Callithrix jacchus: one gene and its partners. The protein of the gene in region 5 interacts with the protein of the main gene of each other region in a biochemical or structural test. Links are inferred from orthologs where the notes say so. Each region holds a gene or a part of one and is shown on either strand. Other genes may lie near its edges. The genes, in order: AMOT, NHERF1, SPTBN1, CD44 and NF2.

Region 1 (5,519 bases), on a different chromosome or scaffold from region 5:
TCCCCCGTGCCTGGGAGGTCACCATATTGATGCCAAACTTAGTGCAAACACCCAATAGGCATAGCACGCTACAGTCCAGAGCTCCTGGATTCAAGCAGTCCTCCCACCTCAGCCTCCCAAGTAGCTGGAACTATAGGCACGAGCCACTGCACCCAGCAATTTTTTGTATTTTTAGTGGAGACTGGGTTTCACCATATAAGCCAGGCTTGTCTCGAGCTCTTGACCTCAGGTGATCCACCCGCCTCGGCCTCCCAAAGTGCTGGGATTACAGGTGTGAGCCATCACCCCCAGCTGATACTTGTTGATAAGAATACTTGTGATGCCTGTGTAGGTACAGGATCTGATGGCACCTTAAGGCTCATTGTATTGGTCACATTTTCCCAAATATAAATTTGAATTTTAAATTTAAAAATAAATGTAGTTCCTAGAAAAATCTCACCAGCTGAAGTTAGAGCGGTCCTGCCTTGTTCTGGAAACGGCTCAGAATACTTTTCCTAGTGGGAGTTCTCATAGTAACTCTCTTTCAGCAATCCCTCCTCCCCACCCTTTGATTTGGTCCCTTCCTGCAGCTCAAATTCAACATCTGCTCTCATTCACTGGTGTGTGTGTGTGGGGGGGGCGGGCAGGAGGGGCTTAGCACCACAGCTGGGTGACAGGTGACAACCCTGAGCTAAGGAAATAGAAAAAGGAGTGTATCCCCAGGTTACATTCTTCTCTGCCCTCCCCTCCTGCAGCTGGGACTTGAGCTCTGGAGTACCCCAAGTGAGGAACCTTAGCTCTTGGCTTCCATTGGCTGCTGGTGAATAGGGTTATGCCTTTGATAGCTTCTTTGCAGCTTTTGTTATTGTGGAGCTCGTGTGGTTTGATCTCCCTACAATGTGAACTGTTCGGAGAGGTGAGGGTGAAGGTGGGGGAGGGATGGGAGGATGCCTTGTATTGTCCAGCAACTCTGTCCTTAGAAGACACCAGGAGTGGAAATTTCAGAGGCCTGAATGAAGCTGAGTATTTGTAAACAAACACCAAATCTTGGGGCCTAAAGGTGACAAGGGCTTATTACCAGTAGAGGATTTTTATATAGGAAAATGGCTTCTGTGTCCATTAGATTTCCTAAATCTGGATGAGGGTTGTTGGAATGGTCTGAGAATTGTTTCTTTCCAGCATTTCCCTGACTTTGTATTTTCACCCCTCATTTTAACTATATCCCTGACCCCATCACTTTGGTGGAAGAAATTAATTATATCCGTATACCAGAAACCCAGTCTGGCTGATTAGGTTAACAGTTGACACCCCTTCTCTAAACTCTCTCTTCAGGGTGACCCCAGCCAATTTTTTATAAAATCACTGAAGGATGAACCTAGCTCTCTTCTACAGGCCCTTTTTGCCAAAGGATCCATGGTGATTTTTTCTTTTCTTTTTTTTTCTTTTTTTTTTTTTTTGAGATAGAACGTCACTCTGTTGCCCAGGCTGGAGTGCAGTGGCCTGATCTCGGCTCACTGTAACGTACGCTCCCTGGGTTCAAGCGATTCTCATGTCTCAGCTTCCTGAGTAGCTGGGATTACAGGCGCCTGCCACTGCACCTGGCTAATTTTTGTATTTTTAGTAGAGACAAGGTTTCACCATCTTGGCCAGGTCGGTCTTGAACTCCTGACCTTGTGATCCATCTGCCTTGGCTTCCCAAAGTGCTGGGATTATAGGCGTGAGCCACCGTGCCCTGCCTCCATGCTGATTTTTTTTTGTTGGGGGGGTGGGTTCAGCCAGTGTTAGGTAAAAGGAGCAGAATAGGATTGCTGTTGTATGTTCCCCAAGATGGGAAAAGAGGCCTTAAATTTAAGTGTAACTGGAACAGCTTGAGTATTGGGAGAAGTAGAGGCTGACTCTGTGTCGAGGTACAGTAGAGGGGAAGGCAGAACAGGAGAAAAGAAGGAAAGTGGGGAAAATTAAGGTAGATTCCAGGTAAAGCTGGAAGAAATGAAAAGGCCCGAGGCTCATGACAGGAATAAGTAGACAGAGTAAGTTTGGAAAACCTTCTGCCACCCTCCTATCTCCTGCCCCTACCATCACCTAGCCCAAACCAGTGGATATATCCTTCTGTGATGGCTTCTCCTGGAAGGCCCCACTGAGACCTGTGCAACTTGCCCTTTTGGATACAGTATCTACACGGGGGTAGGGAAAGGATTAGTATAAGATCTTGAAATAGCAGTCTGCACACCTTGAGGAAAGGGGCTGCCTTCCAGGTGTGACATTCTCTGTGCGACTGGACAGCCTTGAACTGTAAATGCTGCCTAGAGCAGACCAACACCAGGCCTGCTCTTTCAGATGGAAATGTTTATTTTCTCTACCGAGTGCTTGAGTTACATGCAAAAGCTTCATCAGGCACCGGCCTTGCAGATCTTGTCTCTAAATGCCATTCACCAGTTTTCACCTTCTGTGCTGCTATCTTGGTGCCATCTGTGAACAGAAAAACACTTTTGAGTCTGTGAACAGAAAAACACTTTTGAGTCTGCTCTTTTCTGTGGTGTAAGCCTCATTTGTTTTCAGGCAGTCCTGTCTCTGGCAGAATTTTGGAGATGGAGGCGGGTTGAATCTTACTGGTTTGGCAACCTTACCTTTCCCCTAGTGTCCCACTAGGGGCCTGATATTTCTCCCCGTATAATACCCTGAGCTTTGTTAAGGAGCATAGTGGAAAACACAACAGGAATGCAGAATGGTTGCAGAGTCCAATTTAATCTGAAATTTGCTTAGTAGGCCATGGGTTTATTTGTCTTATACAAATTATATGCAAATATCTGTGTGGTTATTATATGTGCAATGGAGCTATACTAGTTACAGAAAGACTCTGGAGTCTAATTTCTCGTTTTCTGCCTGATTGTGGCTGATTCAGGGCAAGATCCTTTCTCTCTTGAGTTTTTTTCCCCCATTTTACAAGATTTGCAGGGATGTCATAAAACACAACTCTGATTACAAATTTCTGTTCAAAAATCTATACTGGTTTCCCACTGACTATGGGATAAAGTCCAAATGCCTGGCATTAAAAGCCTTTTATGATCTGACTCCAATCTATCTTAGCAGCCATATCTCGCCAGCTTCCTTCTGTGTACCCCACAGTGTCCAGCCAAATTAGACGACTGGTCGTTCTGGGAATGCATTTGCTTACTCAGAATAGAATACCCTTCCCCTCACCTCTGCTCATTGAAATCTGACCCAGCTTTCAGGATCTGACTCTAAGTGCCACCTCCTCCCAGAAAGTGTTCTCCTCCCCACTTCCTCCAACCAGGAATAACTTCTTCCTTCTCTGTGCTTTATGGCACTACTACGTTTCTTAAAGATGTATCTTGCCCTATATTCTTTCATTTGATGGATTGAAACCTCCTTGAGAGCAATGAGAATGTTTTCATTCATATTTACACCCCCCAGTAGTGTTTTTAAAAGTTCATGTAAATATTTGGCCCTTGGTCAATGTTTGTTAAATTGAACTGAACTACTTCATGAGGCTTGGGGTTTTTAGGGTTGGTCTCTAATGCTGACATTTGCTCTTCAGAGGCAATTTAACTTTTCTCTCTACTAAAATGAGAAGAGGTATCCTGCCTAGGCAGATACCAGTACAAACTGGAGCCAACATGAGAAAGTCCTTTGAATGGTTTGGAATAAAGTATCTACATACTATATATATTATTACTAATATTTTCAAAATTAATAATTTTTTGAGAAATTAAAATCATTAATAACTATTTATAAAATTTATTCTTAACTAGCTCCTCTGAAGGCAGAAACTATATATATATTTTTTTTTAACCCAAGGAAAGACCATGACTCAGTGAGTTAATTACCAAGCTTATGGTTGGACTTGGAGATCCTTCCTTGAAACTTTTCTCATCTGACTGTGTTATGCTTCCTCCTGGCCATCTGTGAGCCCTGAGAGAAGCTGTCACTGAGGATTTGCATGTATGTTTTCAGACCATTTTCCCCATCAATCTCCTATCATCACCACCATCTTCCTTTTTTTGTTGTTAAGGTGGAGACAGAAATCCAGCGAGTCTCAGAGGCATATGAGAACCTTGTGAAGTCATCCTCTAAAAGAGAGGCCCTAGAGAAAGCCATGAGAAACAAGCTAGAGGGTGAGATTCGGAGGATGCATGACTTCAACAGGGATCTGAGAGGTAAGGGAACCAATGGGCTTGTCTTTATACTTCTGAAGCAGCTGCAGGGTGGTGAAGGGAAGGGCCAAGCAGGATCCAGCTAGGCTCTTTGGGGTTGTTCAACCTATCGGTATGGGCAGTAAATGGCTGGGCATGTGCCAGGCTAATTTTTTGTGACTGCAATAATGCTCAGTCCCAAGCTTGATTAATCAAAGTGTAGGTACACCTCCCTGGTCTTATGAGCAATGAGCTGATGTCGTAGGCAGGATCCCTTCTGGGACTTCTGGAGCCACCTGGCCTACCCCCACAATAGGTACTGCCTCTTCTTTTTAACAAGTTTTGCGGAGGCATGCCCTTTGACTGTGCAAGCTTGAAGTATAATGTCCTTTCTTATTTCTGGGACTCACTGGCTTCTTTTTTTACTTTCACCTGATAATATTGAAGACTTTGGGAAATATTTCTACTTTAAAGCACCTTCAAAACTGCTGACCTTGGGGATGGTACTTTCTTTTTTTCTTTTTCTTTCTTTTTTTTTTTTTTTTGAGTTGGAGGCTTGCTCTATTGCCCAGGCTGGAGAACAGTGGTATGATCTTGGCTCACTGCAACTTCCACCTCCCAGGTTCAAGCGATTCTCCTGCCTTAGCCTCCCAAGTAGTTGGCTGGGATTACAGGTGTGCGCCACCATGCCTGGCTAATTTTTGTATTTTTAGAGACAGAGTTTTGCCACATTGATCAGGCTGGTCTTGGACTCCTGACCAGGTGATCCACCTGCCTTGACCTCCCAAAGTGCTGGGATTGCAGGCATGAGCCACCGCGCCCACCCAGGGATGTTGCTGTCTGTCTTAGAATTTTGGTTATTTTATCTTTAAAATCGGGGGCCCAACTACATGCTACCAGTTGTCCCTTTCTAGCTTTGACATTATGTGAGTTTAAAGACTTTGTAATAACTGTGATGCTGTTTTTTTTCCTGGTTAATGAAAGATATCATTATATATTTGGGGATGGATAATTTCATTGGAATTTAGAATTCTGTACTTAACTTAGGCTTTGGCAGTGAGGAATGAAAGCATTAAATACTTACCTCCTCCTCCCCTGCCATGGTCTAGTATTTTGGGATTCACATTTGCAAACCTGTGTTAGTTACCTATTCCTATTTAACAAGGAGAAACAGGCTTGTTTTACCAAAGGTCAGTATTTAGAGGGCCAGTAGTATGTGCATGAAAGTTTGTATTTGAGACCCTATTGATTTTCTCCAAATTCCACAGAGCGTCTAGAGACTGCCAACAAGCAGCTTGCAGAGAAGGAATATGAGGGGTCAGAGGACACCAGAAAAACCATCTCACAGCTCTTTGCAAAAAGTAAGTGCAAGCTTCAGAAACAGGT
Region 2 (5,519 bases), on a different chromosome or scaffold from region 5:
GGAACAAGATCCCGCAGGGCTGTGGGAGTGCCAGGGGTGAGCCTGGGGCAGGTGACAATGGAACAAGCTGGAAGTCGGACTTGCAGTGAGGCAGGGGATGGGCCAGGGGAGAACAGGGCAAGGGGAGGCTTCATTCAGCCTGACTTTGGGGTTCCTGCGCCTCTGTGAGCCGCTCACTTTTTTACCACTCCCTTAACTGCCTTTGTTGTTGGGGTGAGGGGCCCTGGAGCCTGGATTTGGGTATGAAACACAAGCAAGAAAGACCTGCCCAAGCTCTTAAAGGAAGGCAAAGTCACCCTTTAACCACCCCCAGAGACGGAAAGGCTAGGGATTGAGTCTCCTGCAGATGGTGGCAGCCTCCTGGGGCTGGCAAGTTGGGGCAGAGGCCCATAAGCCCTCCTGTGCATGCCTTCTCACCCCTCCCAGCCCCTCTCCACTCCCAGCTGGGGATTTGGGTTTCAGAGCAGCCTGGCACACACGCCCCCACCCCACCAGAATCTCACTCCCAGCTTCCTATGACTATTCATTAGTATTCACAACAATGGGAAAGTCTGGGTGCACACAGAGAGTTTTTACAGTTAGAAGAGGTTTCAGTCAGTTACCTCATTGGGCCTCACAGCAACCCTGGGAGGCAGATGGCAGTCAGAATGATCCATAAATGGCATGTCCCAGGTCACACAGCTCCTAAGCAGGGGAGCCGGAACCTGGCTCCAGGCCTTGCTGTTCATTGCCTGATGTGCTGAGTGATAACCCAGGGCCAACAGGCTGGACAGCAGTCAGTGGCCCTGCACCAGGCCTGGAGGAGGGGGAGAGGGACAGGGACTTGGGCATAGCATAGTCCTTGGGCACAGGCTTCGGCCAAACTGTTTTCAGCTGAGTCTGAGTGCGCAAAAGAAATCCACATGTGCCCTTTTAGTAGGTCCCACCCTCTAGGCCACAGCCACCCTGGGTTCCCATTAGCCCAGCCCTGCTCTTCTCGGTCCCCTCCCCATTCAGGCTCCTCCATTTCTGGGGTCGCTATGCTTTCACTGCCACCTCTGCCCCCGGGCAGTGGTGGGGGTGGGTCCTGGAATACCTGAGGTTGGTCCCCGGTCTTAGCCACATCCCCTTGCTGTGCCACACAACAGGATTTTGGTTATCTGCTCCTTCTGGCTCCCTTTTGGCTGGGCCATTTGGCTTGTTGGGGGTGTGAGGGAGTTCGTGTATATGGGAAAAAGCTTTACTGTAAACACACTGGCCAGCTTTCAGTAAACACCTGCCTCTTCCTTCCCTGCTGCAGAGAATGGGATACAAAGGGGCTAGGGGTCCTCAGTCACATGCCCCAGGTCCCCAGCCAGGCTGACAGGGGTGCCACACTGTGCCTCCTCTCCAGGAGGGCCAGACTGAGCCACCAATGGGGAGGGATAAGGGCTTGATCAACATAGCACGTGATTCACGTTAGACTGTCAGAGGGGCAGGCATGTGAGAGCTAACCTGGTCCCACCCCTCATTTGCCAGAAGAGGAAATTGAGGCTTGGACAAAGCAGTGTTTTACCCATGTCACCTAAGCAGTTTGCTGCAGTGCTGGGTGTCCATACAAGTCTTTTGAGTCCTGGGCCAGAACCCTCTCAGACTGCTTTGTAAGATCTAAGCACATTTGCATCCTTGCAAGCCCTCCTTGGTGGGGGAGATAGGGTCAGGCAGAGGACAGGTAAGGCAGAACCAGGGGCATCGTGGAATAGCCATGGACCCTCCCCTGTCCCCACAGTGCGAGCTTCGTCCTCGGCTCTGTACCATGAAGAAGGGTCCTAATGGCTATGGCTTCAACCTGCACAGCGACAAGTCCAAGCCAGGCCAGTTCATCCGGTCAGTGGATGCAGACTCCCCAGCTGAAGCTTCAGGCCTCCGGGCCCAGGACCGCATTGTGGAGGTGATGCTTCTCGTCCTCTTCCTATCTGACCACCCCCGCCCCCTGCAGAGCAGCAGTGCCAGGGCAGTATCATCATTAGCCCATGGGCATAGCCAACCTGGAGCTGCTGGGTGGATGGGAGGGAAGGCAGGGTGGTAGATGGATGGATGGATGGATGGATGGACAGACAGATGGACTGACTGAGTCCTTTCTTACCCTCACTCTCCCCTGGGCTCCTCCTTGCCAAGCAGACACACTCAGCACCTATGATTCATCCATCAATCAGGGAGATGTCTGGGGCCACCTCCAGAGCTTCCCTGCTGCCAGGCACACAGGTGGGGGTAGCAGTAACAAAACCCCACTCCCGAATTAGGCTTTTATCTTTGTAGTGATATATCTATTTTTTAATTTTTTTAAGATGGGGTCTCACTCTGTTGTCCAGGCTGGAATGTAATGGTGCTGTCTCAGCTCGCTGCAACGTCTACCACCTGGGTTCAAGTGATTCTCCTGCCTCAGCCTCCTGAATAGATGAGATTACAGGTGCCCACCACCACACCCAGCTAATTTTTGCTTTTTTTTTTTTTTTTTTTTTGAGACGAATTCTTGCTCTTGTTGCCCAGCTGGAGTGCAGTGGTGCAACTTGGGATCACTGCCATCTCCGCCTCCCGGGTTCAAGCAATTCTCCTATCTGAGCCTCCTGAGTAGCTGGGATTACAGGCATGTGCCACCATGCCTGGCAAATTTTTTGTATTTTTAGTAGAGACAGGGTTTCTCCATGTTGGTCAGGCTGATCTCAAACTCCCGACCTCAGGTGATTTGCCCGCCTCAGCCTCCCAAAGTGCTGGGCTTACAGGCGAGAGGCACCATGCCCAGCCCCCGAGTTAGGCTTTTAGACTCTTAAGACTCACTCATTCAGTGCACTGGCGCTGTGCTCCTGGGAGAGGAAATGTGAACCAAATGCTCAGGCAGGTCCCAGAATCACAGTCTTAGAACCTTAGAGCTGGAGATCAGCTCTCCCAAGACTTCTCATTTTACACGTGAGAAAACCAACGCCCAGAGAGGGAAGTCGGACAACAAGTCCTTACCCAGGCTGCCCCACCCGGCCTCCCAGCTCACTCTCATCCCATCTCTCCCATCCCGTCTCTCCCAGCTGTGTTTGTTTAGTCTCGTCCGGATATTTTCATTGGCCTTTCCCATGTGTCCTGCCTCCCCAGCTGACTGGCAAATGGGAGGACCCCTGGCCCAGTCCAGGACTTGCAAACATGGTGGGGGTCGGTATCCCCAGGTTGTGAACTGCAAACTGGTTGAGAACCAAGGTGCCTCTCCGACCCTACCCAGCCCTCCTCCACCTACCTGGCCCAGAACCAAGGCCCGTGCCCATAATGCCTCCCTGACCCCGCCCTGCAGGTGAACGGGGTCTGCATGGAGGGGAAGCAGCATGGGGACGTGGTGTCTGCCATCAGGGCTGGCGGGGACGTGACCAAGCTGCTAGTGGTGGACAGGGAAACCGACGAGTTCTTCAAGAAATGCAAAGTGACTCCATCTCAGGAGCACCTGAATGGTAAGCCAGGTGGGGATGCTGGCTAGAGGCCCCCAAGTCATGGATGTGAGCCAGGGCTAAGACTTTGCTGGGTCCCATGCGAGGGGTGGGCAGCTTCCCGGTGTGGGTGCTCCCTCCCTCTCCTTCAGGGAAGACCTAGAGGTGTGGGCTGGGGGAGCATGGGCCTAGTATGGGGAGTGGCAGTGGGTTTCTGAGGATGGCTTGTGACAGGGTCAGCTGGCACGAGGACAGTCAGAGGGACGACAGAACTTCTGATTCCTGGCCAAAGCTGCAGCCCCAAAGGGAGGCCTGAGCCCCCAATTCTGCCTCCACCAGGAAACTTTCAGAGCAGTGTTGATATGAGGAAAGGGTTAACTCCAGGGAGGCCTCCAGCCTTTGCTTGGTCAGATCAGAGTCCAGTGACAGGGCCCAGTGCCTCCCCCTCCCTCCTCTCAGGTTGTCTTGGAAACTCAGCCTTGCTGGCTCTAGAGAGTAGTGGGTCCCCCTTCAGCCCCTGGGCCCCTGCCCTCCCCATCCCCCATCACCCTGCCAGGTCTGGCACCTCCCCCTGCCCAGGCCAGAGCTAAACAGGGCAGGGCTTCTGTACCAGGGCAAGGAGGGGTTAAGCAGTGCTCTGCTCCCTGGTCTGGACTTTCTCCCTGGGAAGATGGCTCCCTGGAGGGGGCAGAGGGTGTTCAATGGGCCATACTGAGGGTGGAACCTCTTGGGACTTTGCAGTATGCAGGGCGTTCACACAAAGGTCCCGCTGCAGACTCTGATCCCCAGCTGGAAAAGCCCACTGGGGAGGCCCTGTCTCCTGTCCCCTAATCTAAGGCCTGGAGGCTCCTAGACTAAGAGGGAATGGCCCCTGGAAGTCCCTAGCTGGCTCTGGGCATGGGAGGTGGGCACTGCCTTACCCTTGTCTCCCAAGTTTATGGAAACTCAGATAATCCCCTTCTCCAGTGAAGGGGAGACTAGGGCCCAGAGAAGCCCCAGCCTTGCTCCTAGGGATCTGGTACAAGGAAGACAGCTGAAATCTGGATTCCACTCAGCTCCTGAGATACTGTCCCCTGCTTCCTCCAGCACCCTTCCCCCACCCCTTCACCCCGAAGGTAATTGGCCCCTCAGATATTCCTCCCTCTCTGCCTGTCTCTGGCTGGAGGGGCTGCGGCCTCTGGCCAAAAGACCTGAAGAGGAGAGGCCTGGGAGCAGTCTCCTCCCCAGTGTCCCTCCAGGATGGCATCCTCACTCTCTCCACAGGGAGGAATGCCCCCCTCCGGCTGCCAAGGTTTCCCCCGACCACTGTGAGCTGATAGGGAGGGGACAGTAAGCGTCCCTGTGTCCCAGCAGCTGTCCTTGCCCCAGAAAGGCTGTGGGCGTCAAAAGGGAGAAGAGAGTCAGGTATCTCTGGCTGTGTCCTGGACCAGGACAAGGGAAAAGATGACCATGAATTTTAAGCCAAGAGTTCAGAAGAAGCCCACCTAGGCCGACCAGTCCCTAGAGATGGAACAGCCACCCCTGAAGCCATGTGGGACCCCTACCCTGAGTGAGCCCAGTGAAGGTGAATCCAGACCTGTCTCCTTCTGACCCCTCCAGGTTTCCCACTGGCTGGAGGAGGGGACACCCAGCACACACCCCTTGAGCCTTCTCCTCCCCCTTCATTTCCTGATTGGCTAATAAGAGTTGGGATTTAATTTTCTTTTCACCTTTTTTTTTGAGATGGAGTCTCACTCTGTTGCCCAGGCTAGAGTGCAATGACTCCATCTCAGCTCACTGCAACCTCTGCCTCCCAGGTTCAAGCAATTCTCCTGCCTCAGCCTCCTGAGTAGCTGGGATTACAGGTGTGTGCTACTACGCCCAGCTAATTTGTTGTATTTTAGTAGAGAAGGGTTTCACCATGTTGACCAGGCTGGTCTTGAACTCCTGACCTCAGGTGATCCACCCACCTCAGCCTCCCAAAGTGCTGGGATTACAAGCACGAGCTGCCACGCCCGGCCTGGAATTTGTACTTTTAACAAGCTTCCCAGGTAGGAGTTCCCAGGTAGGAATTAGGTAGCCATCCTGGAATTTCATCCCCATCCGGGACAATTC
Region 3 (6,189 bases), on a different chromosome or scaffold from region 5:
CCTTACGGACGAATGGTTTGCATTCTCGATAGTGTAGTGAAAGAACCAGGGCTACCATAGGGAGATCCACAGAACATTAAATAAAGCCGAATTATGACTAGTATGAAGATACTAGTCAGGGTGCAACATAATTAAAGGAGCATCATGTCACTGCACGTAAAAATAGGCTTTAAAATGTTCTATAAGAATATGTTATTAAAATAAAAAGCTTAAAATTATTTCAACAAAGCCACATTGAATGATTTCCACTAATCATGTCTATGTTTGTTTAGTAGTAGTAAAATCTTTCCACATCAAAATAGTACGTCCACACATAAAATCATACATTCATACATCAATACAAAGCAATCAGTCTACAAACTCTTTCAAGAAACTCTGCCAATGCCAAGCCTCTGCTCAGGATGTGTCACAAGTAGAGTGAGGTCTTCTCATTTGCTCTACAACATCACAGATAGTTGTTACTAGTCTTGCCCAAGAGAATCTCTTCACAGAAAACCTCAACTGTGGGAGATGACCAAGTGACAGCAGTTCCTTCACTGCCCAATACTTCTCCTCTCAGAGGAAGGTTTTGGTCACTCCAGCAGCAACAGAGTTACAAACAGCTTAACCCAACAGAATTCCGCACCTGGTGTTTAAGTCAGAACAGCTAAACCTCCTGTGACATCAACACAGGATATTTCTTACAACAAAGTAAATCCAAAACGTCTGGATGATCCATGGAAACAACATTCACAAAAATCTTTACAAAACACGATTTTATACAACCAGCACAACAATGAAGCCCAAATCCAAAAAGTCCCATATTTTAATGGCTCTCTATTAGAGAAACTCAAAATAATGCACATAAACCACACGATGTACATGCAGTGCTATTCTGCAGAGCCACATGAAATTAAAAACCACTAACTTAGATTCATTAGAAATTTTTAAAAATACAAGCAGGCACGCCCTTGGCTTGCAAACACTGAGCTCCCCTTCTAGCTAGCATACTGAAATTTCCTTTTTCACCTACACATTTTAGAAGAGCCTGGGTTGATATTTGAAGTCTATCCCATTTGCCATCCCACACTGAATAAATGAATTATAGAAATGGCATTTAGAAGGGAAATTCCCTGTGTCCTGGCCGAGACTAAACATGAGAACCATCTCCTACTGACTAGATACCAGTCAAGAGGCCTTGGTGCTCTGCACCTCTCCACCCACTCCGCAGTCACAGCTGTGAAAACATGTATACAAAAAATGCATATAAACAAACATAAATGTAGTCTGTTACTGTCATAATCCCATTAGTTATGCCTGGACACTTAACTCCACTATCTGAATCAACAGAAATCTGAATATCAATTTACCCTACATCATGACACTCACACAGCGAGTCATCCTTAATAAAGCATCCAAATAATGCAATTGTACTTGACTTACTTGCAAACGATGAAAACAAAACAAATACACGCCAAAGGAATCATTTACTGTCCATTAAAAATATAAATATCTTTTAAAACAACCTGAATTTCAATGTCAGTGACATAAAACTAAAATACACTAATCATTTCATTTAAAAAATGGTTTCCTATAGAAAAAATGCACACTTGGTATTAACCAAAGACGGACGAGGTACTATAATGTCACAGTTGTGAAGGTCCAATTAATAAACACCAACTTTCCACGTAGAAAGAAATCAGTGTGTAGCTGGGCTATGGTTACAGATTATGGATGATCCACAGAAAAACGCTGCGATTCCCCACACTGACTGCACCATTGCCTCTGCACACGACTGGGCCCGGTCCTTCCTGCTGCCCCTCCCTAAGGCTCAGGTCCGCTGGTGGGAGATCAGATTCCGATCTGCATCCGCAGGCCGGCTCCCCTCTGCCTGCATTGGTGCTGCAGGGCGCCCCTCCGGCGGAACGCAGCCCAACAAGAGGTGCAGGAGGGATCATCCCAAAAGAGAAGACTCTCCCCCGCTCACACCTGGGTGACCTGGTCCTCCTGACGCCACATCCAGCTGAAGCTGAAAGACAAGGTAGCAGCAGCTCCAGGCCTTGGCCAAGGGCAGCCCCGGGCCTGGGTGGGGCCGGGCGGGGGCCGCAGGCGCCGAGCGGCCGTGCCAAGCCCCGCCAGCGAGAACCGAGGAAGCTGCGATACTGCTGCATTGTGCTGCATCACGGCGAGGGCACCGTGAGCCATCCATCTTGCCAAAAAAGCACATCCCCGCCCAAATAAACCCCACCGAATTAGTTTTTCTCCTCCGCCGAAGCACCCCCACACTCACCCTGACCTCACTATCTGGCCTGGCTTTCCACTGGAAAAATAATGGACAGAGGCTTGTGTTCTGATCCCCACTCCCTCCCCATCTGATGGCAGCTCTTGGCACCTTTCCTATCACAAAAACAAAGAGAAGGCTCCCCCCAAGAGGGCCGTGGGCGTGGTGTGGGGGGTGATGACGAGAGGAGCTTCCAGCCCACGTCCCTAAGCCAGGCCCGGAGGGTCCCCGCGCAGAGACAAACCTGTTGAAGAGAGGGTGCGGGAGCTGAAGGGCCGGAGCAGCGGCGGCTCGGCGCCCCGGAGGCGGCTCACGCCCAGCCCTGGGAGAGTGGGGACAGCAGGGAGGGCGGGGGGGGGCGGGCGCAGGGGGGTAGCGAGCGCGGGGAGGGGGCGGGGGTGGGACGCGGGGCCGCCGCCTCCCGCTCAGCTGCAGCGCGGCGCAGCCGGGACCACGCCTGGCCGCATCCTCGGCACCGCTAGGCGCAGAGTCCGGCCCTGTCACCGCCGCCCCCACTCCCCACCCGCGGGGCCACAGGGAGGGCACCTGAAAATAGACCCTCCGGCTGCCCGCTCCGCACCCACCTTCGCCCTGGGCCCACGGCGCCAGGGTGTAGACAAGCGGCGGCGGAGGCACGGAGGAGGAATCGCCGTGCCGGGGCTGGGGCCGGGTAGCTGCGGTGCGCAAGGCGGGTCTGCTGCCGCCTCACCGCAGAGCCTGCCGCCCCTCGCCCCGCATCACCCGAGTACCAATGAGCACCCGCGACCCGAGCTCCCCGCGCCGCCCCCACCCGGGCTCTGCAGACTCCCAGCCCCCACGCGACTCCCCGGGCGCTGGGCAGGCGGGCATCGGCGTCCTCCGGCCCTGGGCCCGCGCCCCTCCTCCCGCCCGTCCGCCGCCGCGGAGCCCGCCCGGGAAGCAGCCCCAGTGAGCTGGCATCTCCCTGCCTCGGGTCCCCTACCTACCTCCGGGGATGGGGTGGGGGCGCCGGGGTCCCGTCCTCCTCCCGCTCCTCGGCGGCCGGGCGGGTAGGCCGGGAGGCGACTCCGCGGGTCTGTCCGCGGCTGGGGCCGGGGCTCACAGGACGGGACCAGTGGGCGCTGCTGCGCAGGGCTGCGCGCTCGCTCCGGGAGGAGAGGCGGCCGAGGGAGGGACTGGAGGAATCCGCAGCCTGCACGGCAACAGCTGCACTGATTCCGGGGGCTGGGCGGGAGCGCGGGGGGCGGGGGGAGGAGGGGAGGAAGGGAGGACGGCGCTGGCAGGGAGGGGGCGAGGGGCGGGGAGAGGAGAGGAGCGCGCGGGGCGGGCGCGCGCACTCGCGGGCTCCCTCCCGCACGCCCTCCGCCCTCCTCCCTCCCGCCGGCTCCCTCGGCTTCGCCGGCCCTGTCCTCCCGCCCCGAGCCCCGCAGCCTCCCACCCGGCGCTCGCTCGGCCAGGGAGCCGAGCCACAGGCGCGTCCACGTCCTCTCCAGTGGAGGCTCTTCCCCCGCCCAGTCCGGACCTCATCCTCCCAGCGGCGGGGACCGACCGGGCTGGCCGTGGCCGGGTGGGCACTGCTGCTGCTGCTACCCGAGCAGGACAATAGGGGCTTTGTCCCCACAGCCGGAGAGGGCCAATTTCACGTTTAATTTGAGGCTAATTCGATTATCGCCAAGGAAAGAGGCGGCCTAATTTTCTACGTGACTTGTGCAGCCTCTTTTCGCCCTTGATGTTGCGTTTGGAATGCGGGGGAGAGAGGGTGTTTAGGGAGGTTTTGGAGCGTCGCTTGCTTCGTTGATTTGAGATGCAGGTGGTGATGCCTTATAGGTTCTGCGCAGCTTGGAGAAGGGCGACGGCGACCTCTTCGTGGGAAACCTTGGGCGCTGGAGGGTCGGGGGATGGGGTCGTTCCTTGGTGAGGTTAATGTGTTCTTCCTTTGTGAATGCTTTTTCACCCACCCTTTCGCTGTGCGTAGCTGGGAGCAGACCCTACAAGTGGTTCATCCAACTCCTGCTTGTCCCAGCGCAGGCTCCGCTCGAACCTGAGGCCAGCTGCTCTTGCTCAGTCACTCCCAGGAGTGGGGTCGTCTGGCCGCGGTGGAAGATCCCGTGATGGCTTGGGGACTTGAGTTCTCCCCTCTGCGTATTCCCCGAAACGGAAACTGGACGTTTCCTCGAATTTTTGTCCTGTCCCAGTAGCCCTTCCCAGTCACCTGGCCCCTCAGGCTGTGTAGAAATTCCACAACTGTCGCTAGTGTGAATAAAAGATGGTAGAATCACCAGGACCACGAAAGGAAATGCTCTTTAGAAAACGGTTTGAAGAAACTGACTTTCTCCTTGCTCTGTAAGGTGCCCAAGGCGGCACTGTGGGCTTTCAGAGGGAAGAGGGCCCTTCCAGGCTGAAAAAGCCCCAGGGCTTTTCCTCATAAAGACCCTTGATCACCTGGATTAAAACAAAACCAAAAAACCAAGGCAAATAGTTTGGATCATGTTTATATCTCAGATCACTAGCACCTGGCCTGATGGGTTTATATGTTTGTATGTATTTTTAAATGAATATTTAAAAATAAAACTAAGTGAAATTGTCACAGCAAACTGAAGATGATTCTTCCTTTTAGGCCTTCATCAGTTTGAATGTTTGTACCCATGTTTACTTCCGATAGATATGAAAAAAAAATTGAGGAAGGCAAATAACATTTTTTCTCAGAAGGTGAATCAACACAACCAGACGGTAAACTCTAAGGGTAGGGTTCTTTTTTCTTCACTCTGTACACAGCAGGCACTTTAAAACTATTTGTTGAATTAAACAGAATCAACTTATAAGCTGCTGCCTTCATTAGGTAATAAGAAAAATCCACTAAAAAGCAAAATTGTTTCCCTTTCACTTACTTATTTTTTACTATGGACCCCAGCACCTCCCTACCCACTATGTTAATGAAATACCAAAGAAAACAGTAACTATTTGGGAAATGCATCCATTTAAGTTAATTCTTCCAATGTTATTCTGAAATGGTGACTCTTAAATAATTTCTTTATCACAGACAATGGTACTTAAATAAATTTTCATTTGATGGATGATTCACCTCCTCTAACCCATTCCACTCTCACTTACGTTGTTTTTTAAATTTCCTTAAAAAAAAAAGGCGGGGTCCACACACAACCTTAGCAAGGTACTCTAGTAAAGCACCAGTAATTATTCCAAAAATGTGGAAGACGAGGATTCAGAGTCCCAGTATGTATACCTGCCTCGTAATTTTGAAGTATTACCCTTAAGTGCAAAAAATCATGCTGGAGAACTCAGAGTACCAATGACCACAAAGAAGTAACAATTCAAAGAAAAGATAGTACAATTGGAAAGATTATTGGAGAAGACATCTTTATGGAAGGCAAAAATCTAAAAATGATGAAAAGCCTTAGTCAGTGAAAACAGCTCAGAAGGATTATTCCCACATATCTCAGAAACAGCTTTATTGAAGTTTCTTCTCATATTAGAATCAGGATTGATTTAAAGGAACCTGGAAGTCTACATGTTTGTAACATACTACTCTCCATTTTAAAAACATGTGATTACATATGACTTTGTCTCCCATCAAAATACTTTATTACACAATTTTTACAGATATAAATTGTCATTTTATCTTTCTATTCAAAATGTAGGGGAAGGCTGGGCACAGTGGCTCATGCCTGTAATCCAGCACTTTGGGAGGCCTAGGTGGGTGGATTACCTGAGATCAGGAATTCAAGACCATTCTGGGCAACATGGTGAAACCCTGTCTCTACTAAAAATAAAAAAATTAGCCAGGTGTGGTGGTGCGTGCCTGTTATCCCAGCTACTCGGGAGGCTGTGGCAAGAGAATTGCTTGTACCTGGTAGGCGGAGGTTGCAGGGAGCCGAGATCGTGCCACTGCACTCCAGCCTAGGCAACAGAGCCAGACTCTGTCTCAAAAAAAA
Region 4 (5,519 bases), on a different chromosome or scaffold from region 5:
GGGCTTTTAAAAATGGCCCTCTTCCCCCTTTAGTCTTTTTCTTTTCACAAAGTGAATGTGCAAATAAACACAAAATCATCACCCAATACCACCTAGGTGGAGTTACAGGAAGTATACAGGGGCAAGAAATAAGAAGCAGTGGATGTCACCAAATTATTCTTTCAAGAAACTCAAATTTAAGGAGTCTTTAAAATTTAACGTGTACAATGTTGAGTAGTGCAGAAATTTCACTGGAATACTTGCAAATGTTGTTTTTAATAGTTATCACAGATCTATTCTGCTGAAATAACAGGTCTTGAGTGACACAGAGGCCAAACCCCATCAATATTCCTGGCTCTCCAATTCAGTCAAAATCCATCCACATCACTGCCTCTGGAAAGAGCTAATCAGTTCCAGCAAAGCACCAGAATACTGGGTACTCATGTCTGCACTGCAGCCTTTCAACACTAAAATATTTAAGATCTTTGTAGGACAAAAATGTGGTGACTCTCCTATCCCAGATTTCAAACAAGAGCAAGGGCTAACCTGAATCAAAGCCACAAATGGACATTCTCCCAGAAGAAGTCCCACTTGATGATGGGCTCTAGACTCTTGTTCATCTTCCCTCTTATCAGTAGAGTCCTTCAAGAGGTACCACACCATTGTGTAGTTGAAGCCAATTGTATTGTCCTTGACATCTTCATCTATTTAATGGAATCTCTTTCTCTTCATCAGTACAGAGACTTAATATTGATTCCGAAGATCTTTGCCTGGCTTGGTTTTCCCCCATGGGTGTCCTCAGAGCTTCAGCTGCCATGTGCAAACTCATGTGTGCTGGGCCTAGCCATTCAAACATATCTTCCTTTGTGACAAATGGATCCACTCACTTGAAATATTCATTCCTTGGCTTTTCTCCCTTCATGTTTCTCCTTACATGAGTCTCCTTCTTAGAAAAATTCCCCCACCCCTCCACCCACTTCCTTTCTCTGACTATCCAGTTTTTTTTAATTTTTTATAAATCAGGTCCAGTTCACCTTTCTGTGATGCTATGGTAGGTGAGGAGGGGTTCTCAGAATTTCTTTAGCATTCATTATTAGTAACATTCATTTCACATCTATTACTTACTGCCTCACCCAGATATATCTTGACAATAAATGTCTTTTTTGCCAACTGTCCTGACAAATTCCTTACCTTCAGCTCAAGTGTTCATACCAGATGAATATGCATATCACTCCTACCAAGAAAACAAATTTTTGAAGAACCTCAAGTCCTTCAGGAAAGAAGACTGGTCTAAAACCAAGGGCTTATTTCCAGAAAAATAGTCAACAGTCACTCAGTGGATTTCAAAAAAACATAATATATAAAAATTTCAGAGGCTATTACCCATCCTTCTTCCTGCTTGATGACCTCGTCCCATGGGATGTGAGACTGGGTCGAAGAAATCAGTCCAGGAACTGTCCTCTGGGCTTGATGTCGTTGTTCCTTGGGTTGAATGGCTGGTGTGGGCTGAGGCTGTTGTGATCATGCAGTTCAAGCAATTGTCAAAGTGTTAATGGACGCTTGGTCAGGGGTACATTGATTTTATTTTTAAAAAAGACTTGATTCTCTTAACAAGACAGTGCAACCATCTTCCTTGTATAGAGGGCAAGGAAGTTGCATAAATGCAGAATGCTTCAGCAGGTTCGAGTTCACTCATGCTCATTTTCTTCTTAGCAATCAGCATGTGAACTGGAGGACACAAAAGCATTAACAACTCCTGCAGCGCAGAGAGGATGAGTTACAGACATCAAAGGAAGATGAAGGAGAAGTAGTTCTGGACCCATGCCATGCTGCCACAGTCCCCTGAGAGCAGAAGTATAAGAGCCCAAGTGCATGATGTCATACTGAGACAGCCATATTCCAGCCGAATGCACCTTAGGCTGGAAGTGATCTCAGGAAAGAAATCAAGTAACAGCTTTCCATGTGATCAACATGAAAGTCAATGCCGTTTATCTCAAAAGCATGAATGGAATCCATTAGAAGCATTACCTTCTAACAATGGGACTTATGGCATAAATGACACGTAAGACAGCAGCAAATGCCTGGCTTCATTCTGAGCCAGTGAAGAAGTATAGGTAGAAAAGATTACAATAGCATCCTCTTAGCAACAACCACACCACATAGACAGTCAAAGAATCCATTGATCTGCCAGGAATTCATTCAGAACTTGCCATGCCCCAGAAGGACATGCTGCATCACCTTCTATATTGCAAAGAAAAACATGGGACTATTTCTCACTGAACTGAGAATATGGAATTCACCTTCTCTATAAGGCAGGACAGATTTCAATACTATGTCACACAGACAAAAGAATTCTGCATGGGTGCTTGCAGAGCCAAGTTATCTGGCATCACTTAGAGATGATGATAAGACTTGATTCCAATTTCCACAATCTTACAATTCAAGAATAGAGAAGATGCCTTTTTAATACTGAAAAAACAAATTACAAACAGGCATGACCAAAAAGCCAAATGACATCAGACAGGTGTCATTTTTCACATAATGTCTGGCTCTGTTTCTTCAAAGTTTTGACAAAATGCTATATCACAAGAAAATACTTTGTGAGAAATCACATTGTAACTCTGGACCCACATTATAGAATATATTCCTTTGCATGACAAAAGGGGGTATTTTATAATGGCCTCTGCTACAATCTCACTAGAGGAAGCCCAAAACTCGATGTGAAAGAGACATTCTTAAGGGCATATTCTCTGTGCTTCCCGTTCCTATTCCTAATGGCTTGTATTTATTCCTGTTTGGGTAACTTGTTATGACCCTTTAAGATTTGGCTCTGTGTTAACTGCAAGATAATTTATGAAGGAACCTAACATCTTGTGACAATTCCTCCAGTGTCCTTTTGTTCGATGTCTTCAATGTCTACCATTTAACCCAAAAGGAAGTTGCCATCGAAATTTACTTGTTAAACCATCCATTACCAGCTGTCCCTGTTGTTGAATGGGAGTCTTCTCTGGGCGTGTGGAGATATCCCTCATGCCATCTGTTGCCAAACCACTGTTCCTTCTGGGTAGCTGTTTCTTCATTTGTACTACCAGGAGTTGCCTGGACTATGAGAAGAATATCAGTTGGGAGACAAAATTGTCTATTTCTATTTTCCTTGCCAATAGCTGTCACGTATCTTTCTACTTTTTTTTTTTTTTTTTTTTTTTTTGTAGAGACGGAGTTTCGCTCTTGTTACCCAGGCTGGAGTGCAATGGCGCGATCTCGGCTCACTGCAACCTCCGCCTCCTGGGTTCAGGCAATTCTCCTGCCTCAGCCTCCCGAGTAGCTGGGATTACAGGCACATGCCACCACGCCCAGCTAATTTTTTTTTTGTATCTTTAGTAGAGACGGGGTTTCACCATGTTGACCAGGATGGTCTCAATCTCATGACCTCGTGATCCACCCGCCTCGGCCTCCCAAAGTGCTGGGATTACAGGCTTGAGCCACCGCGCCCAGCTGTATCTTTCTACTTTAAGGGCAGATACACATGGAGCTAGAAGGTAGAAAAGAAAGGCAACAAAGAAACAGGCCACTGATATTCTAAAGGGGATATTAGAAATCAAATGATCCAAACGTTTAATTTTTCAGATGTCAAAATTGTGGTCCAAAGAGGTTTTGATTTGTTCAAAATCAAAGTACTAAGCAGACCACAGTTGATGAATTCTCATAGTTCCATGAGTTATTATTTTTATTTTATTATAGTATATGGCATCACATACCCTGTCTGAGAAAACCATTCAAAGAATAACCTCTTTGCTCCAGTCATTTTGAGGAAAGGAAATACTGTACAACAACTAATGACAAGATCAGTGCATTAGGAGACCTTCTCAGATGGTGGTCCTGTAACCCATAATCACACACAATGGAAAGGCACCAGCAGTGGATTTGCCCAGCAGGAAAGGTGATGGGATGGCTTGGATGCTATTCCACTAACACATTGTATAGTAATGTCCACACGGCATCCAAAATTACTAAAATCACTTTTTAACAAAATTAATTCAGTTAACAAAAACTATCCAAGCTAGTCTGAGGCATTATACAAATAATAGTGTGTGACAGGCTTACAATTTCAACCATGGCTTTAAAAAGGACAAAATCAACAGAATAAAGTTTCATAGAGGTGCCTTCAGGAAAAGTCAGACACCAACATTTTTGTCTACACAACTTACAGCAAATTGTTTTTAGTTGATCAAGAAAATGAGAGCCTGTAAACTTGCCAAGTCAGAGTATTTTTTTGCAACTTGTAAAAATGGCTGTTTTTCATTATCTTAGAAAATGATATGTGTAATTTGGTGACAGCAATGACATTTAAAAAATAAAGCATACCATCCTCATTTACCTTTACATTGGCCAAGCCATTCTTGGGTAACTGGTTATCCAGGGGGAGGGGAAGAAAAGCCGAAATCTTTAAGTTTTACCTCCCACTGGCTAAATCACTAATTCCCAACAAGAATGAAGTTGGAAAAACCACTGAATGTAATTACCAGAAAAGGAAAATTGACCCAAATATATACTGCCGTGTTACTCAAAGTTTAAATAAAAGAAATAAGGAAGTGTATGTGTGTGACTGTACAGAAGGACTCTATAGTCCTTCTATCACTACTTTTATAAACATACTGATTTTTTAAGTACCTGTAACCCTTTATTATTTTCAGCTTAAATCGGAATGGGTTAGCAGAACATATGATTTCTATCCTACAAGATGAAGGTTGACTTTCTTCTAGAAGTTGTGATGTTAATTTGTTAAAGCCCAGAAGTTACCAATCAGATCCCTTTGAGTTTCGCAAATACTGATAAGAGAATTGTTACAGTTGTTGCTGTCTTCTCTTTGTCAAGTTACATTCTGTCTGAATTTTCACCCACCCTCTAGCATTAATGCCCCAAGCACCACCTTCTGACAAGAGGCTCATTATTTTCAAGTCTCTAAAGTAGCTTTCTGGTCTTTAAGTGCAAACTGTCTAAAGTCGTTTCTAAGATACACTGTTAGGGCTCTAAGGGACTGGAACAGAATCCTATTCCGAAGAGACTTCTGCTTCCTCTGTATTTCCTTTTCTTATCAGATTTCTTTTTTTAACTCAGCCCCTAAGCCTTATGCATACATCAAATCTACTGGGGCATGAAATGGGATGTAAGGCCTGCTGGATATATTCAGTACAATGTCCAAGACTTATTAACCTCATGCTAGCTGATAGCTGAAACTTTTCTTTTGGTGTCTGAATGCACTGCTCAAGCCATAGAGTCCCAAAGCCCTTTGGTTTTTAAGTGGCTATTGCTCACATTTTCCCATTAGGTATATTCAAGGCTGTGAGAATGACAGTTGAACCATCATTTTAAAAATGCTAAAAAGCTGTTTTCCAAAATAAATGCTTATTTTATTCCAAATAAGATAAGATATTTCATCTATCTCTCAGTGGTATAGATGAAAGAAGAAAAGCATATACTTCTTATGTTTGGGGGTGAAGGGGTCCCCTATCCTCACAGTTCAGTGCAGCAACTTGTTT
Region 5 (5,519 bases):
TCCTCCAGCAGCCACAGGGTGATGGGCACAACTCAGGTCCCACCTCCCAGTGCCACCACAAGCCTCCATCCCTCCACTTCAGTTCCTCCACATTTGCCACTGCCAGGTGGACAATACCAAAGAATATAAATCCAGGAAAATCCTCCCTCATCCTTCAAATTTTTAACCATTCTTCACGCTCAGTTGAATCAAACACAAACTCCCACTTGCTTTTTCATTTAGGAAACTCCTGGGCCCTTTGTGAGGGGCTGGAGATGCTGAAAACAAGACATCGTCCCTGGCTCTGAGCAGCTGAAAGTCTTGTTCAGGAAATAGATGTGTTCACAGATCATCACTGTTAAATAAGGTAAACACTGTAGCCAGGAAGCGAACAGAGGCTAGAAGAGATGCTGCTTTTGCTGGGAATCCAGGCAGTGCCAGGAGAAGGTTTGCCGGTGGGAGGCATGGCAGCAGGCTGGGCAGTGCCCAGTAAGGGTACCAGGAGTCTGCCATGTGAAGAGGAGGGGTGGGAGATGGGCACCACCACAAAGGGCTCTACCTGCCCACCGAGGGGTTTAGGCTTGGACAATGGAACCAGAGTATGGCTTGAAGCAGGAGTGATGAAATTAGATTTTTTTTTACTTTCATCCCAGAACAAAGGGTCTTCTAAAGAGGGCCCCAATCTAGCTCCCCAGCTTCTCCCATGATTTGCCCTGCTAAGTCCCAGACCGTACTTTTTAAGATCCCTGGACTACTGCTTTCCCGTTTCGGTACCCTTGCCTATCCCATTTCTCCTCCCTATACTTCATCCCTCTTTCAAGGCTCTTCTCAAATACCACAGTCTCTCACCAAAGCCTTTCTAGCTCCTCCCAGCCAGCCAGCAACCCTTTTCTTTGCTGTCCCTTAACGCTGTGTTTATGGTTCTCTAATGGCTCTTTTTACAGCGATTCCATCCTGTAAAAGATTTCTTTTTGGCTGTGTCTTTCTACTATTTGCAAGTTTCCTGCAAACGATCTGCCTCTTTTTCATCCTTGTATCCCTTATTAAGTCCAGGACAGTGTCTGGGAAAGAGCAGAGGCTTGACACATTCATTTGAGACACTTTCAAGGCCTGAGGCAGACCGTCTGCAAGGGTGGCAAGAGAAGGCTCCTGGGGTGCCAGGGACATCCTGTTTTCTGATCTGGGTGCTGGGTACATGGGTATGTTCAGTTTGTGAAAATTCTTCAAGCTGTATAGTTGTAATTTCGGCACTTCTCTATATGTATGTTATACGTCATAAAAATTTCCAGAAAAAACAAGTTCTAGTTGCTGTAGCACTAGTGAGAGCATGAACTGGGACGACTTCTTTGGAGAGTATCGAAATGGAAAATTTGACCCCACAGTTCTATTATGAGAATTTATTCTACCAGTATATCCCTGTGTGTGTGTCAAGATTTGTGTTCAGGGATGTTCAGTGCTATTTTGCTCAAAACTGCAAAAGAAAACAGACTAAATACTCATCCATGAGGGACTGGTTAAATGAATTATAATCCATCTACACAATAAAACTTGATTAAAAAGGTGATATGAATCATCTCCTCTAGGATTGACTGCTAAGAGGAAAGAGTGGATACAGCAGTGTATAAAGTTTGCTCCAGTGTGTATTTTAAAAACAACACATAGACTGGGCGCGGTGGCTCACACCTATAATCCCAGCACTTTGGGAAGCTGAGGCGAGCAGATCACTTGAGCTTAGGAGTTTGAGACCAGCCTGGGCCACATGTCAAAACCCTGTCCCTACCAAACACACACACACAAAATTAGCTGGGTGTGGTGACGCACACCTATGGTCCCAGCTTCTCAAGAGACAGAGGCGGGAGGATCGCTTGAGCCTAGGAGGTAGAGGTTGCACTGAGCCGAGATTGTGCCACCGCACTCCAGCCTGGGTGACAGAGTGAAACTCTCTAAATAAATTTTAAAAAAAAGTAATAATAAATAAAAACAACACACACATCAGTAATAATAAATAAAAACAACACACACATCTCAAGTGTTCAGCCAAGCTGAGGGCTCAGATGACTACAGTCCCAGCTACCATCTGACTGTGACCACCAGAGAGATCCCCAGCAAGGATCTCTGTCTGGCCCAGTCAACCCAACCAGCCACCAGAGGTACTAATAAAGGGTTGTTTTGGGCCACACGGTTGGCTTGGGTGGGTTGTTACATAGTAATAGAGAACCAGGATATATGACAACAGCAAACTGCTTACATTTCCCCCACCTTGAACCCCAGGCAGCTTGTGCCTCTGGTGCTCTTTGTGCATCTGTGTCATGTATGTGCCTGTGCCATGTGCATGAATGTATGTATGGGTATGTGTGTGTTTGTCTGTGCTGTGTGTGGATGTGCCATGTGCATGACTGTGCCGTGTATGAGTCTGGGCCATGTGTGCATCTGTGCCCTCATCCTGAATACCCTATGTTCTCTTCTCCACCTGGCTACTTCCTGTTCCTACTTCAAGCTTCAGTGCAGACACCATACTGAGCCTCTCCTGCCCCTCCAGGATGGGCTGTGTCCTCCTCCTCTAGGCACCCATGCACCCTGAGAACACCTGTCAGGATAGAGACTTCCAACTATGTGGCACAATGTGGATACAGAACAAATATGCAAAAAAAAAAAAAAAGTGCTGAACTGAATGCACAGAAGAAAGGAAGGAAAGAGGCTTCTATTCATTTTGTGACCCCATTTAATAGGAAGTCTGCCTCTCTGTCCTGAAACTGAGATTGGCTGCTCATTCTTGCACAGCAATAATTCACTCTGAGATGTACAGCCAATCCCTTCCCAAAACTATAATTATGATATATGGTATATACTGATAGTTGAAGATTACATTCAGCTCAGCATTAAGAGGCAAGAGAGCAAATTCTCTTGAGGATAATCTGGGACTATATTACTTAGAACATGAAAAAGATTCCAGAGCTGGAAAAGGCCCTGTTGCCTATTATCTAGGCAACCAGAGAGACAACTAACTAGTCCAAAGCCAAATGGCAGACCAGGGTGTTTTACCCAGTCCCTAACTGCAGGCTCTCTGCACCTCTCATCCTGCCATGCGTTTACTTGAATGGTCAGCCTGAAGGCACTGCCAGATGAACCGAAGGGCCGGAAGGAAAGAGAATATCACCAGGGCTAAGGCAGCCCCAGGTGGCAACCCCACAGGCTCACCGGGTACGTGGGCTTGGTGGCGATCTCCAGGAGCTTTTGCTTGGCTCTTCGCTCCGCCTCACGCGCTTCCTGCAGGTCCTGCTTCAGCTGATCGGCCTCTTTGGCCCTGCAAGGAAAGGAGGAGATGTCAGCATCACAGAACAGGGCAGGTGGAGGGAAAAGACCCCACCCTACCTGTGCAAAGGAGAGACCTTGGTTAACCCTGAGGATGGTACCTGAAGAGGCGAAAAAGGACAGCGGGACAGGGACATTTACATGAAAACTTCCAAAGCAAGGACAACACTCCTGAAGATTTTCATTTGAGCTGGTAAATCTAAACTGGAAGAGCAGGAAAACTGGTGGGGAATGAGAGAAACCAGACCGTCTGCAGCCGGGAGAGGGAGGAGCTGGAGGAAGCACCAGCAGCTTTCTCTGCTTTATTTTTGGGTGAAAGTAAGCTGGGCAAAGGAAAAGCCTGGAGGATCAAAGTTCTTATATCGGATCGCAAAGCGCAGTATATGCAAGAGCTGTGTCTTCACAGTCCCCGGGTAAAACACCTGCAGGCCTTGTGCCCACTTTCTCCAGCAGGAAGATGAGCCCTGTCACTGAGGGCACTGCACCTTGGTGAAGATCCTCACCCTGCGGGGCTTGGGGTGGACACAGCATGTGAGGCTTGGCACAGGGACCTGGCCCAACCTGCATCACAGGTTGTGTGTGTGCAGTCCCTAGTCCAAGCCAAATGGCAGACCAGGGTGTTCTATCCAGTCCCTAACTGCAGGCTCTCTGCACCTCATCTGCCATGTACAGGGAGTGTGACCTGCATACAGCAAGGGGGCCGAAGCAGGACAGGCAAAAAGAAACCATATTCCCAGAATGACATGCAAAGAGTGGTAAGGAAACTGTAGTGAATGCACCTTGGTAACTAAAAGCCAAATTCAAGTGCTCTAAATCAACAGCCAAAAGCTGTGGGGAATGTGTCAGTGTTTATCTGAAGGTTGCAGGCCTAGAATAGTCTTTCAAAAGTACAGACAACAGTTCCATCCTTCAACCTGGCCATGAGTGGGACATACCAGTCACAGAGACTATCCTAGCCCTCCTCCCCCATGTGCCAAGGAAGGCTGGGGGATGCAGGCACTAGTTTCCCTTTAAAGGTAAGCAGCTGCTGTTCTGCAGCTCCACCGAATGAAAGCAGAAAAGAACCTTGTTATTGTTGTTTTTTTTTAATGAACAAAGAGCCTTCTCACGTCTCTTCAGCTGAAAGCAGTCTGTGGATATACTCAGGGGTTTTCCTGCATACACGGCCATCAGAGGGTCAGGGGCTTATCACAGAGGTACAAGCCCGACCAGAGAGGTGCACCTGGCAGGAGAACTGAGTTCCTATGCCCATCCGGTAGCGCCAGCCCCAAACTGGATGAAGCATCAGTCGCCATTGGCAAAGAAGTAGCCTCCCTCCAGTCCAGAAGATGGGGAAGCAGCTTGAGGATGGCTGCTATGGAGCTCAGCCTCAGGGCAGGCTGGACTGTGGCCCTTCACCAGCCTCCTCACCAGTCTGGTGCTCAGCGTCCCCTCACCTTCTCTCTGACTCCTCAGCCATCTTCAGGGCCAACACCTCGGCCTCTAGCACCTTCTGCTCCATCAGGCGCTTCTCCTCCTCCGTGCGAATGGCTGTGGCCTTGATGCGTTGCATTTCCTGCTCGGCCTCTGCAGCCTTCTGGGCCAGAAGTTTTGCCTCCTCCTCGGTGATCTGGGCCTTTTCAGCCAACAGGTCAGCCGTCTCCTCGGATCGCATCTGGAAGGCACGGGGCTCTTAGCTAAAGTGGGATCATGTGCTATTCTCCCGCCCAGATCTGCCTTAAAAACAGAAATAGAACAAACCAGAGTCTTGGACTCCTGGGGCCCTGCTGCTGAGTGCCCCCCATGACCCTCTGACAAGAGGTGACAAGCCACATTCTCCAGCTTTTCAGAAGGGCCCTTCGGGCTGCACCCATGGGGAACAAAAAGAGCACCTCCTCTGAGTACCCACTTCAGCTCAGGCTTATGTGTCACGCGGAGAAAAACAACTTAAACTCTGTTCTTTCCCTTTAAATCAGTGGTTCGAACCAGAGGAGCTTTTTGTTCCCTGCAAGAGACTTGTAGCAGGCTGGGCATGGTGGCTCATGCCTGTAATCCTAGCACTTTGGGAGGCCAAGGCGGGCAGATCACTTGAGGTCAGGAGTTCAAGACCAGGCTGGCTAACATGGTAACACCCCGTTTCTACTAAAAGCACAAAAAAATTAGCCGAGTGTGGTGGCACGCGCCTGTGATCCCAGCTACTTGGGAGGCTGAGGCAGGAGAATCAGTTGAACCTGGGAGGCGGAGGTTGC

The links.
Region 1: the proteins of NF2 (region 5) and AMOT form a complex in vitro, tested with the Homo sapiens proteins (2 studies listed by BioGRID and IntAct). The link is inferred for Callithrix jacchus from reciprocal best matches to the Homo sapiens genes NF2 and AMOT.
Region 2: the proteins of NF2 (region 5) and NHERF1 form a complex in vitro, tested with the Homo sapiens proteins (2 studies listed by BioGRID). The link is inferred for Callithrix jacchus from reciprocal best matches to the Homo sapiens genes NF2 and NHERF1.
Region 3: the proteins of NF2 (region 5) and SPTBN1 form a complex in vitro, tested with the Homo sapiens proteins (2 studies listed by BioGRID and IntAct). The link is inferred for Callithrix jacchus from reciprocal best matches to the Homo sapiens genes NF2 and SPTBN1.
Region 4: the proteins of NF2 (region 5) and CD44 form a complex in vitro, tested with the Homo sapiens proteins (2 studies listed by BioGRID, with this or other methods). The link is inferred for Callithrix jacchus from reciprocal best matches to the Homo sapiens genes NF2 and CD44.

What each region holds. Positions count from the first base shown.
Region 1 is NC_133524.1:109,134,403-109,139,921, reverse strand, and holds part of AMOT (angiomotin), read left to right. Parts: intron 1-4,012; coding exon 4,013-4,157; intron 4,158-5,401; coding exon 5,402-5,494; intron 5,495-5,519.
Region 2 is NC_133506.1:130,697,009-130,702,527, forward strand, and holds part of NHERF1 (Na(+)/H(+) exchange regulatory cofactor NHE-RF1), read left to right. Parts: intron 1-1,747; coding exon 1,748-1,909; intron 1,910-3,295; coding exon 3,296-3,449; intron 3,450-5,519. UniProt on the Homo sapiens protein: Scaffold protein that connects plasma membrane proteins with members of the ezrin/moesin/radixin family and thereby helps to link them to the actin cytoskeleton and to regulate their surface expression. Necessary for recycling of internalized ADRB2.
Region 3 is NC_133515.1:60,056,990-60,063,178, forward strand, and holds the start of SPTBN1 (spectrin beta chain, non-erythrocytic 1), read right to left. Parts: upstream 3,417-6,189; 5' UTR 3,226-3,416; intron 3,188-3,225; coding exon of another isoform or gene 2,472-3,187; intron 2,165-2,471; coding exon of another isoform or gene 1,714-2,164; intron 1-1,713. Other genes in the region: uncharacterized protein LOC118147173, read left to right, coding at 1,714-2,164, 2,472-3,187, 4,215-4,367. UniProt on the Homo sapiens protein: Fodrin, which seems to be involved in secretion, interacts with calmodulin in a calcium-dependent manner and is thus candidate for the calcium-dependent movement of the cytoskeleton at the membrane.
Region 4 is NC_133511.1:100,548,685-100,554,203, reverse strand, and holds part of CD44 (CD44 antigen), read right to left. Parts: intron 3,084-5,519; coding exon 2,955-3,083; intron 1,822-2,954; coding exon of another isoform or gene 1,766-1,821; exon of another isoform or gene 1,523-1,765; intron 1,492-1,522; coding exon 1,363-1,491; intron 1-1,362. UniProt on the Homo sapiens protein: Cell-surface receptor that plays a role in cell-cell interactions, cell adhesion and migration, helping them to sense and respond to changes in the tissue microenvironment.
Region 5 is NC_133502.1:200,269,119-200,274,637, reverse strand, and holds part of NF2 (merlin), read right to left. Parts: intron 4,946-5,519; coding exon 4,728-4,945; intron 3,284-4,727; coding exon 3,178-3,283; intron 1-3,177. UniProt on the Homo sapiens protein: Probable regulator of the Hippo/SWH (Sav/Wts/Hpo) signaling pathway, a signaling pathway that plays a pivotal role in tumor suppression by restricting proliferation and promoting apoptosis.